Oryctolagus cuniculus: one gene and its partners. Each later gene encodes a partner of the first gene's protein in a complex. Links are inferred from orthologs where the notes say so. Each region holds a gene or a part of one and is shown on either strand. Other genes may lie near its edges.

The links.
Region 2: KIF11 (region 1) and RBM10 share a complex: the UniProt entries of both Homo sapiens proteins name them as parts of the large chromatin remodeling complex. The link is inferred for Oryctolagus cuniculus from reciprocal best matches to the Homo sapiens genes KIF11 and RBM10.
Region 3: KIF11 (region 1) and MYSM1 share a complex: the UniProt entries of both Homo sapiens proteins name them as parts of the large chromatin remodeling complex. The link is inferred for Oryctolagus cuniculus from reciprocal best matches to the Homo sapiens genes KIF11 and MYSM1.

What each region holds. Positions count from the first base shown.
Region 1 is NC_091446.1:37,973,066-37,976,565, reverse strand, and holds part of KIF11 (kinesin-like protein KIF11), read left to right. Parts: intron 1-83; coding exon 84-256; intron 257-2,808; coding exon 2,809-2,934; intron 2,935-3,013; coding exon 3,014-3,172; intron 3,173-3,500. UniProt on the Homo sapiens protein: Motor protein required for establishing a bipolar spindle and thus contributing to chromosome congression during mitosis. Required in non-mitotic cells for transport of secretory proteins from the Golgi complex to the cell surface.
Region 2 is NC_091453.1:32,690,696-32,694,692, reverse strand, and holds the start of RBM10 (RNA-binding protein 10), read right to left. Parts: upstream 2,801-3,997; 5' UTR 2,737-2,800; coding exon 2,667-2,736; intron 1,049-2,666; coding exon 907-1,048; intron 1-906. Other genes in the region: NDUFB11 (NADH dehydrogenase [ubiquinone] 1 beta subcomplex subunit 11, mitochondrial), read left to right, coding at 3,486-3,692. UniProt on the Homo sapiens protein: Binds to ssRNA containing the consensus sequence 5'-AGGUAA-3'. May be involved in post-transcriptional processing, most probably in mRNA splicing. Binds to RNA homopolymers, with a preference for poly(G) and poly(U) and little for poly(A).
Region 3 is NC_091438.1:114,346,478-114,350,484, forward strand, and holds the start of MYSM1 (deubiquitinase MYSM1), read left to right. Parts: upstream 1-1,207; 5' UTR 1,208-1,258; coding exon 1,259-1,323; intron 1,324-4,007. UniProt on the Homo sapiens protein: Metalloprotease with deubiquitinase activity that plays important regulator roles in hematopoietic stem cell function, blood cell production and immune response.

The DNA of each region.
Region 1 (3,500 bases):
ATTTTGGTAACCTCTTTAAAGTGGTTCTAACTGCTTAAGTATATTTATGTCGTTTTATATTTTTATTTATTTTTTTGTTATAGGTAATCTGCTGTCTTCCAGTGTCTTTGCGTTAGACACCATTACTACAACAGCACTTGGATCTCTCACATCTGTTCCAGAAAATGTGTCTACTTGTGTTTCTCAGATTTCTAATATGATACTGAAAGAACAATCATTAGCAGCAGAAAGTAAAACTGTACTACAGAAATTGATTGTTAGTAAATCTCTTAAAATATTTTTAAGGGTTACATTTGTTAAGTCTTTAAAGCAATATTAACTGGTATTCTTTCATCTTCAGCTTTGTTAAATAGTGACACATGTATCACTTCAAGAATTTATTTTTTTAAAGATTTATTTATTATTTGAAAGGCAGAGTTACACAGAGAGAGAGGCAAGGCAGAGAGATCATCCATCTGCTGTTTCACTCCCCAGATGGCTGCAATGACTGGAGCTGGGCCAATCCAAAACCAGGAGCCAGGAGTTTTTTCTAGGTCTCCTACGTGGGTGCAAGGGCCCAAGTGCTTGGGCTGTCTTCTGCTGCTTTCCCAGGCACATTAGCAAGGAGCTGGATTAGAAGTGAATTAGCTGGGACTTGAACCAGAGTTTATATGGGGTGCCAGCACTGCAGATGGCAGTTAACCTGCTTTGCCACAGAACTGACCTCTGTCTATATATATATATATATATATATAGTTTTATTTTATTTATTTATTTTTTTTGACAGAGAGAAAGGTCTTCCTTCCATTGGTTCACCCCCCAAATGGCTACCACGGCCGGCACGCTGTGCCTATCCAAAGCCAGGAGCCAGGTGCTTCTCCTGGTCTCCTATGCGGGTGCAGGGCCCAAGTCTTGGGCCATCCTCCACTGCCCTCCCGGGCCACAGCAGAGAGCTGGACTGGAAGAGGAACACCTGGGACTAGAACCCGGCGCCCATATGGGATGCTTTTGCCACAGGCAGAGCATTAGCCAAGTGAGCCACAGCTCTGGCCTCTCTGTTTATATTTTTAAAGACCAATCTCTGCATTGTTTTTTTTTTTCCTCCCAGGAAGATTGATTTCCAAATGTGTATAACCAACATTTGAAAACTTTTACTCATATTTTATAGTGTTAACAAGTAGGAGTTATTTATAAACTTTTTAATGACTAAAGAATTCTCGGAATACATTTAAAATTCTTGGGGTTAGATCTGTGTGACCAAGCCCTTCTGGATCTTATAACTAAATTTTTTTTCCCCACAGTTCTGTAGAAGTCACTAACCTAATTGCAGTTAATATTGCCTCCTTGATACATGACTTACATATATTCTATTTTGTATTTGCAAGGTTTGTCTAGGCAGTTTGCCATTGCACTAATTTTGTTCTTTCCTTCATACAGGTTCTCTGCCTCCCTTTTTGAGGTTAACAATATTTTTATTAAACATTTTCCAAGTAAATATTAGAAATATCAGCTGATCTGCTTAGGTTCATGCAATGTAACACTATTTGATAGGTTTCTTCAATCTAAATGACCACTTTAAAGTGAGCATGTTGCCTCTCTTATAACTTGATACAAGTTGCTTCTTTCTAGGAGGGTATGAATGGTTATTATCTTTAATCTGAATTTGACAAAGTATTCAGTTAGCATTAACTTTCTAGAAATTGATTGATTCAGATATTGTGGTCTGTATTTATTGATGTCTTCCTGTGTACCAAGTTAAAGACATTACTTGAATCAAAAGAAGAGATGACTGCTGTTCTTACAGAATTAATTGTAATTAGTATGATAGCTCTTCCTTCCAAAAGATTACCAGTGGCCTTTTAAAAAAGTATTTATAAATTATTTCTATTATAGATTTTCTGTTTTTATTTTTTTTTCCTCTGCCCTGGTGAAAAGATCTTTACTCTGGATTTTTTGTTTTTCATGAAACTTCCCAGTCTGCACTTTATTATTTACTTTTCATATGCATTGACAAGTTTAAGAACCTTAACAGGTTCTGATACAATAGGATATAAGTCAACAATCTCCAGAGTTAAATACCTCCATCCCAAAGCCTACTCATGATGACTTTTTGGTCTTGGTCTTTTTGACAAATGACTTAAACTTGTTTGAAATTTTTAAAATTTTCTATTTGGAATACTGAAATCTTACCAATTCATTGTCACTTTTTTCCTTTTTTGAATTCTTCTAACATGTGTTTCATTAGACTCTTTAAGAATTTATTGTAGGTGCGCACCGCGGCTCACTAGGCTAATCCTCCGCCTGCGGCGCCGGCACCCTGGGTTCTAGTTCCGGTCGGGGCACCGGATTCTGTCCCGATTGCTCCTCTTCCTGTCCAGCTCTCTGCTGTGGCCCAGGAGTACAGTGGAGGATGGCCCAAGTGCTTGGGCCCTGTACCCCATGGGAGACCAGGAGAAGCACCTGGCTCCTGGCTTTGGATCAGCGCGGTACACCGGCCGCAGCGGCCATTGGGGGTGAACCAACGGCAAAAGGAAGACCTTTCTCTCTGTCTCTCTCTCTCTCACTGTCCACTCTTCCTGTCAAAAAAAATAAAGAAAAAATTTATTGTATACTAAGTGACCATTAATTACTAGAGGCAGAACTAAGGGGGTTTACGCTGAATGTAAACACTAGGCATATAGATACATCTCTGTAGGCTATGAAGAACAGAGAATGTAAACTTAGAATTTTAATGTGTATGTTTTTCAAAAGTATTTTAAATGTAATCTAACCATCCAGGCTATGAAAATACGCCTTTTAAAAGATCTGTTTGTTTATTTTTAAAACTAGAATGTACTTAAGACTGACCTCCTAAGTTCACTGGAAACGATTTTATCCCCTACTCTGGTGTCTATATTGAAAATCAATAGTCAGCTAAAGCATGTTTTCAAGACTGCATTGACAGTAGCTGATAAGGTAACAAATGTTATGTTCTTAATTATCTCAAAATTACTTTATTGTTTTAGAAAGAAGCTAATATTTTTTTTTCTCAAAGATAGAAGATCAGAAAAAGGAAATGGATGGTTTTCTCAGTACGCTGTGTAACAATCTACATGAACTGCAAGACAATACAATTTCTTCCTTGGTTGAATCACAGAAATTATGTGAAAACTTAACTGAAGACTTGAAAACAATAAAGCAAACGCACGCACAGGTATCTTGTCTGGCTGACTTGGGAAGTGGAAAAAGAAAGTCTTATGATAACTTGTGTCTTAATAATCTATGTTACACAAGCTGAATGCTGTAAAACTAATATAGAACCTGAAAATATTATAGCCACCGTTGCCTATAGCAGTAATTAGTATAAAATAACTGAGAATATTTCTCTTGATTAGTTAATATTTGAGGTTTTGCTACACGTGGTATCCTATGCTGAAGTGCAATATGACAAACCAAACAGTCCTGTTCCTATACCAAAATGAAAGATGATATGGGTGAAACATATCTTTAGAGGCAAATGGTTGTAACATTTAAAGTGAGCG
Region 2 (3,997 bases), on another chromosome or scaffold:
ATATTGTTTTCCATTTTTAAGAGGGCTAATGGTAGAAGAAATCCTTTGAAAATATTTTAAGCTTTATCTTTCAATTCTCCTCACCCCTTTTATAAATCCGTTGATTCTTAATAGAGGCTTTCTGAGAGAGTTAGATCTGGTTTCTCAGGCAATCTTAAAATATCATGGGTGTATCACCTGCCTCACAATTACCTGGGGTGACCCACCAGGATAGCAAAGGACTACGGAATTTTACCCAGGATTTCTGGATTTTACCCAGCATTCCAACTGTTTCTTGCACATACCACAGCTGACAAAAATAACCATGTGAATGTATCCATTTCAAGAAAAATATCATGCCCAGTGCAGCCCCCTCTGTCCCTGGAGTCTCCCATTATCTGACCTGGCTTGCCTGACCAAATTCCTAACTCAAGGCAGCATTCCCATCCATTCCTCAAACCCAAGTCTACAGACCTGACCTCCTGCCTCTTCTCCTCCCCCTCCCCCTGCAGAGTCTGCCTTCACCTTGGTGAATGGTGCCACACACCTATCCGGGTCACGCAAGCTGCAAACCTGGCATCAGCCTCAATTCTCTCCTTTCTTTTGATCCCTTCCCGCCCTTACCTCCAACTACACTACCCATCAAGTTGTTTTGTAACCGTTATGAACTGTGTGGCACCCCTTGTGACATCCTGAGCACAGGGGATGCCGTTCTTATTTGTCTCATTCATCAGTGCACTCTCACAGCCTAGCACAGATCCTGTCTCACAACAGGTGCCAAACACACGTCGGCTGAAAAGAAACCAATCACCTGTTGTACTGTATCCTCCGCTTGGAAGGCCCCTACTGACACACCTTCCTGGATGGATCCTCACACCGGGACAAGCCGAGGCTCCTCGGAAGGGGGGGGGGGGGCAGAAAACTCACCGTCTTTCATACTCCATGTCCTGATAGGACCTGCGGGGGCTGCTGGGGCCCCTCCTCTGCCGCTGGCTCCGTTTCACTTCCCAGCCACCCCCGCTGCTGCCACCATGATCTGCCAGCCTGGGTGATGCCTCCTGCAGGGATTCTGGGGAGAGTAGAGGGAAGAAAGGGGTCAAGGCAGTGAGAAACCCTCATTATCAAGGCTCTCTACTGTCCCGTAGCCCACGGATATTGTTTTTCAACGCCCAGTGCTTGTGTGGATCAGGCTACAAGAAGGCAGCCCCAACTTGGGCTGCTCCTTCCTTTACCCACAAACACAAAACTGGAGCCCACAGCCCTGGAAGACAAGGCCTTCATCAGACAGGAGACATCTTGCAGAGAGACCTGGTGGGGCCAGTCATTGTGTGGCCAGGGTTTTGCCATCTGAGCATGGTAGACATGTTCAAGTCTAGGCACAGAGGCAAAACTTTACAATAGTGGGAGATCCGGGCAGGCACTGGGCTCTGTCCATGAGCCCCAAGGTACCATTTCGTTCTCCCAACAAGATGTTGGCTGCCCCCTGCGAGGCAGCAAGACACCCTGAAAGGCTCTGGAGGTGTGTGTGAAGGGGACTACCTCGGCAACAGGACAACTGCTACCTCCCTGGGCTCCTGGCTCTTGCACGGCAACTGGCTCAGCCCCCAGCCCTGTCTCTGATGTGCAGCCGGGTCCCAAGGTGGCTGGCTCCCTAGGGCTCTGAGCCCAAGTGTTCCAGAAGCAAAAGGAGGCCCTTTCTACTGGGCTGGAGCAGTCACTTCATACAACCCTTGGGATTGTGCAAGGTCTAAGACTCCTGATAACTATGTGACAACATAGGCAGGGGTCGGAATGTATCCCACAATCTCCAGGCTCCTCCCTCTCAACAGGAATCGGGTGAAGCCAGGCGGGTAACAGCACCTGCTCAACACGAGGTCGTCGCCACCACACCTTTCCTCCATGTACACACACCAATCTTCTTTTCCTCCCCAAACCACAGGGAACCAGAGTTACCTGCTCCCAATGGGTAAAGTCAGAATCACAACCAGGGGCCCCGGCGATTGCAAGGCAGATGGGAAATCCTCAACAGACTCTGGCATCCACAACAGATACTGGCCAAAATCACAGCCAGACCCCACTGCGAGGGCCTTAATCACACACAGAGCCCCGTTTCAATGGTATGAACTCCTCAAAAGAACGGGAGGTAAGTCTCTCCCCCCCCCCACCACCACACACACACGCTTTCTGCACCCCTCTCCCATCCAATGAGTAAGGGCCCGTCACAGGGTAGCCCCCCCCCCCCACGGATAAGGACCAGAGTCGCCCCTCGCCCCGCCAAGGATAAAGGCCAGAGTTGCACATTTTCCCCTCAGTGCCCGCCCCATGAATAAGGACCAGAGCCGCCGAGCACTTCCCCATGGATCGGTAAGTGCCAAAGTATCACAGAGAGCAGCCAGCACACCTCTTCCCCTATGGATAAACACCCAAGTCGCAGACACCTGCATAAAGTTCTGCAAGCAAACACAGCTACAGTAACCCACTCCCATCCGTCCCTCCCTTCCCCCAGCCCGCGTGCACCCATCCCGTGTCCCAATCGCGCACGCGCCCTAGATTTCACAAGGAGGGGGGGGAAGACACCCCCTCCCGGATTCTGACCGTGCACGCATCCCTGCGATCCACGCGTGCCCCGAGCCCGCAGTCCGCCCTCAATGCCTCATCTGTGCAACCCCCCGCCCGGGACCCCTTACCTCCGCCCCCACGACCAGCGTCGACGCTCACCTTCTCGGCCCGGGCTGTCAAGGGAGGGCTCCCAGGCATCACCTCGGCCCGCCGCCACCTCCTCCAAGTCTCCCAGCTCAGTCGGAGCCGGAGCGCGCAACAATCAAGTCCAAAGCTGGAGGCAGAAAGGAGGGGCAGGAGAAGGGAGAAGCGCCAAGTGCGCTGCCCTCCCAGGGAAACTCACGGCCGCCTACTCCCAGCCGGCCGCAATCAGCAGCACAAAATGGCGACGACAAGAAGGCAGCCGGCGCTCCGACCACCATCCACCTACTAAGGGAGCGCGCTCTGGCCGGCCTCTTCTATTGGTCGCCGCTCGCCGTCGGCCAGCCCTGGCCGCCTCTGATTGGCACGCGTAGGCCACCTCCCCACTCCCCGTGAGAACGCCCCACAAGTCGAGAAAAAGTCGCTATTGGCCAATCCAGCGAGGCCCGCTTTTTAGAAGCTTGGCTTCCTTTGAAGATGAAAGGCAGGCGGAAGCTCCACCTCTTTCCCTAAAGGGCAAGGGAACTCTCTGGGCGATTGGCTGGAAGCCGTGGCCACCCAAATGTCACTGTTTCCTTCCTATCAAGTTATGTGCAGACCTAGCAATAGCAAATTTCTCAAGAGGCCATGACAACAGGAGGGTAAGGGGGCTCTTCCTCGACGCCCCGCCTCACTTGCAAACAAAATCGGACCTGGGACCTATTTAGTGTGGCGGGGTGGAGCGACAATTATCGCGCTCGGACCAACTGCAGCTGCGCACAGTCGCATTTCCGTTCCGCCCCTGAGACCCTGCCGCACTCTTCGTCATGGCGGCCGGGATGTTAGGTTTGTGCGCTCGCCGCTTTTGGGCCGCAGCGGCTACGCGAGCGCTCCCGGCTGTCCGCGCTCGCTGGCAATCCAGCTCCTCCAGGGCTGTGGTCGCCCCGTCCGCTGTGGCGGGAAAGCGGCCTGCAGAACCGACCATACGCTGGCAGGAGGACCCAGATCCCGAGGACGACAACCTCTATGAGAAGGTGAGAGGGAGGGAGGACGGAACGCCGAAAGGGCCAATTGGGGACTGGCGGACGGGGCGCCGCAGAGGACGTTCTGAGGCAGCTGCGGATTGCGCAGCTGGCGAAATCCTTAAAGACGTGGGAATTTTGGTTACTTATTTTCTTCCTTTGTCCCCTGATACCTACGGTCCGGGGCCAGAGGCAGGGTTGGCCTTATTTTGCAAACCTAAAGTCAGAAATGCCGTAAACACTCTGGAAGCAATATAGTAGGGTAACCATGCTAATACTAAAAGCCCCGAGGTGGTGCTTGCCCGGTGCCAGTCTAT
Region 3 (4,007 bases), on another chromosome or scaffold:
CTGGCTTTCAGCAATGGCGGAGGGGGCTAAAGCTTGGGATGTAAATCAGGGTGTAGATGGTGCCATAGATGAAACTGGCGTCCAGTTTCCTAACACAGTACCCTTCAGACTGAGATTTTCCATCCGGCCAGAAGAGTAGCCACCATTCCTGGCTTTACTCAGGAACAGACACTAATCTTTTCCATGGGTACTTCTCTGTGTATCCACACTTCCTTGAAGTTAGAGACTTTCTATCTTGTATTCCCCCAAATCTAGAGCGCCGCTTTCAGAATCTGACCAATCATCGAACTCTTCCGAAGTATGGTACAGGGGCGGAGTTCACTCCAGCTAAGCCGCCCCTCCTCTGTGATCCCCTATGAGCCCCGAAGTCTTGCCAGGAAGCTTATTACCTCGCCTTGAAATCGCCTGCTTGAGCGGCTCTTTGAGGGCAGACGCTGAGTCCATCTTATTCAATGCCATTTCCTCAGCACAGGAGGAATGCAACAAGTATTTCTGAAATACTAATTCATTCTGCTTCCAAACTACTTGATGAGAAACATGGGTCTTGCCACAAGTCCCAGGGTTGCAGGCCTGTAGAACGGGACAGTTTAAACAGACCAGGCCTCTGGAGTTCACCTGAAGGTGAGGGTGCAGCATCATCCTGTCGGGTGGGGTTAGCCTAGACCCTCAGAGAGCCAGGTCCACATCAATCTAATTAGCCCAGAGCATAGTGTGGGGTATGTTGGTCGAGGGGTTGAGGACAGACTTCATATTATCGTCTCTGGGGAGGGAGGGCTTGAAATGACTTGGGGAAACTGAATTCTGGCCAGGCCCTTCCTTGCTTCCACTGATGCCTGGGCTGGACCTGAAAACTCTTCATTGCTGCAGTGCAGGCGACACTGTTCACACGGTAGTGCATGTTCCGGGCTAGCAGGCATCTTTCTCAATGCTGTGATGTGTATCCAGGCAGTCCTGCCGGGCTCCCCATCCCCGCCTGCTCCGTAAAGATCAGTGATAGGCACCTTCATTTCACCTTTACTTTGACTATATACCCTACTTTCTGCCAATCCCCAATCCTACTCAACAGACATTTTAAAACAGCAACCTCAAAACCTTCCCGGGTCTCCGGGAACGCCTTTCCTCCGGAAGCCACGCCTCCCCAGCACGGAAGGGACTAGATGTGGCTCCAGCCCCGCCCCGTGACGCATTCGGCCCTGCCCCCGGGCTCTTCCCCCTCTCGCGAGATCTCGCGGGAGGACAGACGGGGTCAGGTCTCATCATGGCGGCTGAGGAGGCGGATGTGGATATCGAAGGGGATGTGGTGGCAGCAGCGGCACAGCCGGGGTGAGGCGGAGATCCTGGGTCTCTCCGGGGCTGGGCGGGGCGTGGAGGCGGGGAGAGGACCCAGGAGAGCCCACAGGTCCTACAAGAGATCAGGAAGGGGAATACATTCCCCAGATCTGGGTGTGCTGGCGGCCCGGAAGGCGCCGCGCCGGTTCCGCCGTCTGGCTTGCTCGGAGCCAAGCGTGTTGGTGCCTGGGGCTCAGGTGCTGAAGCGTCGGGACAGCTCTTTGACCTTTTACCGCAGTGCTGTGAGGGCGTAGTTTAACTAGCACGTTGCACTTGTTCCAACAGTTAGGTTCCTTCTGATGTTTCCATCTTTCCAGAATCTGGCCGCTGGACGAGACTTAGCTCAGAGACTCCAGTTCCTGGGTTGCAACCCCTAGGATCTTGAGCTAGTCGTTTCTCCCTTCTTCAACCTAGAGATAACCGTGAAAAACTTCCTGAGAAACTGCTTAAAGAGAGGGGGCCGGATTTTAGAGTTTGACAGTTCTGGGTTTTCCTTCTGCATTCGCTGGCCCTACCAGTTACCAGCAGTGTGACCTTGGGCGAGGCGCTTACCTTGTGAGCCTCGGACCGTTCGTTTAAATTGAGAATGATAATAAGTACCCCATAAAGTTGTTGTTGAAGATCAAATGAAATAATGAGCATATGGTAGGTGCCCTGTCATTGTGTCCTTTTCCAACCCGTTACCCTTCGGGATGGTAAGGGATGTGAGGATCCAGTGAGGGACCACACTTTGTTCAACACCGATTCCTGCAGAAAAGATCAGTGCGGTTTGAAACAGAACTTTCTTTGACTCCTGGGTCTGTAAGAAATGAGTCGTCTTTCAGTCATGGAAGAGATCTGCACTAGGTGGGAATCGGAAGAACCAGGTTCTCAATGCAACCAGCTATGTTGCTTATAAAATTGTCGACTTACTGGAATCTGAACTAAAGGAAATTGCCCAGTGTTAGATCATTTTTGACCTTTAAAGAGGCAATTTCATGTAACACAGCCTAATTTCAGGGCCCCTGAATAGGAGTACCAACCTGCCCATGAAGCACGAAGATACATAAATGTCTTACCCACTCCAAAGCATTGTAAAGCACTATGATGGTAATTAAACTCACACACCAGTCTCCATCAAATCTTTAGGCAAAGAAATCCAAAGCCTGTAACAAGAATAATTGTTCTTATTCATGTAGTGTTTAAATCCTGACCAAGTTCTTTTCCATGTTTGATATTTACTTTTCACAAGTCAGTAAGATAGGTATGCAGTCCAGAAAGAAGTGAGTTCTCATTTTGGAAATACTAAAGATTATCTGAGGATGCTGGCTGGCTTCTTCGGGGTTTATTTTAATTTTTCTCCTTTTTCTCTTTCTTTTCATCTTTCTGTTTTACTTGAGTCTTGGGTCTCCAGAGGCAGTGGTTACCTTAGTCTCTTACAGAGGTGATGGTTCCTGATGGTTAGACCCTTGGCCTTACACAACTCTAAGGAGCATTGTTAATAGTATGTTCTGATGATTAATGCCCAAGGTATTGGGGCTGTAGTCATACAGAATTTAGTGTGAATGGTATCCATGCAGTGTGTAGTTATAGCTGATGATAGCACCTGTGGAACCCTTGGAGATTGATTTAAAATATCCTGTCAAGTGCTTGCTAAGTGCTAGGTTTCAATGTTAAAAGATGGCATTGAAACTTTGAGTTTCCTTGTACTCTTACCAGTCTCATCCACCTTTCCTTCTGCTTGTTCTTTATCATTGTGTTAAAAGGGGTTTTGTAGGACTTATATATACTGATCACGCAGTTCCTGATGATACAATCTCTCAAGACCCACGATTTCTGTTACATTGAACCATCTGAAATTTTGGCAGAGGTTGACCATTTTTTTACCTACAAAAATGGTAGTTTTCCTACGTTCAACCTAGTACTTGCTGTTATTTCCCAAATCTTTGACCAACGTCGACCTTTCTTCTGAGCTTCAGAGTCATTTGCCCAGCTCTCTGAATCTGTCTGTACTTGGACTTTACACAGCATCTCCGTCTCAGCTTATAAATCTCCCCCACCAAACGTGTCTGCAGTGTTCCCTAATTCAGTACGTGGCACCAGAATCAACCCAGTCACCTAAGACACAGACCTAAGCTTCATCCCTTTTCCTAGTTTCTCTCCTTTCACTGCCCTCATCCTGTTGGTTATTAAGGGCCTGTTGTTTCTGTCTAAATATCTTTTCAGATATATTCACTCCCATTATATATTCAATCCTGTTAGATTGCTTGTTCCCTAGGTATAAGCTGTCACCTTTCTCCAATATTTTTATAGTTGCTTCCTCTTTGCTCTTCTGTCACCTTGGCCCCCTTCAGTTCTTTCAGGAAGCTAGTCTTTTATACAGATCTGATCATGTATTCCCTGCATTCTCCAGTTATTTTTAAATACGTGTGTGTGTGTGTGTGTGTGTGTGTGTATATATTCATTTTCTAACTAGTAGAGAACTTTGTGGTCCATGCCTCACATACCTTGTTCATTTCATTCACCAAATATGGGGTAGGCATTGTGACACAGCAGGTTAAACTGCCATCTGGGATGCCCACATCCCATATCAGAGTGTCTGGGTTCAAGTGCCACCTCCATTTCTGATCCAGCTTCCCACTAGTATACACACTGGGAGGCAGCAGATGATGGCTCAGGTACTGGGTCCTGGCCACCAT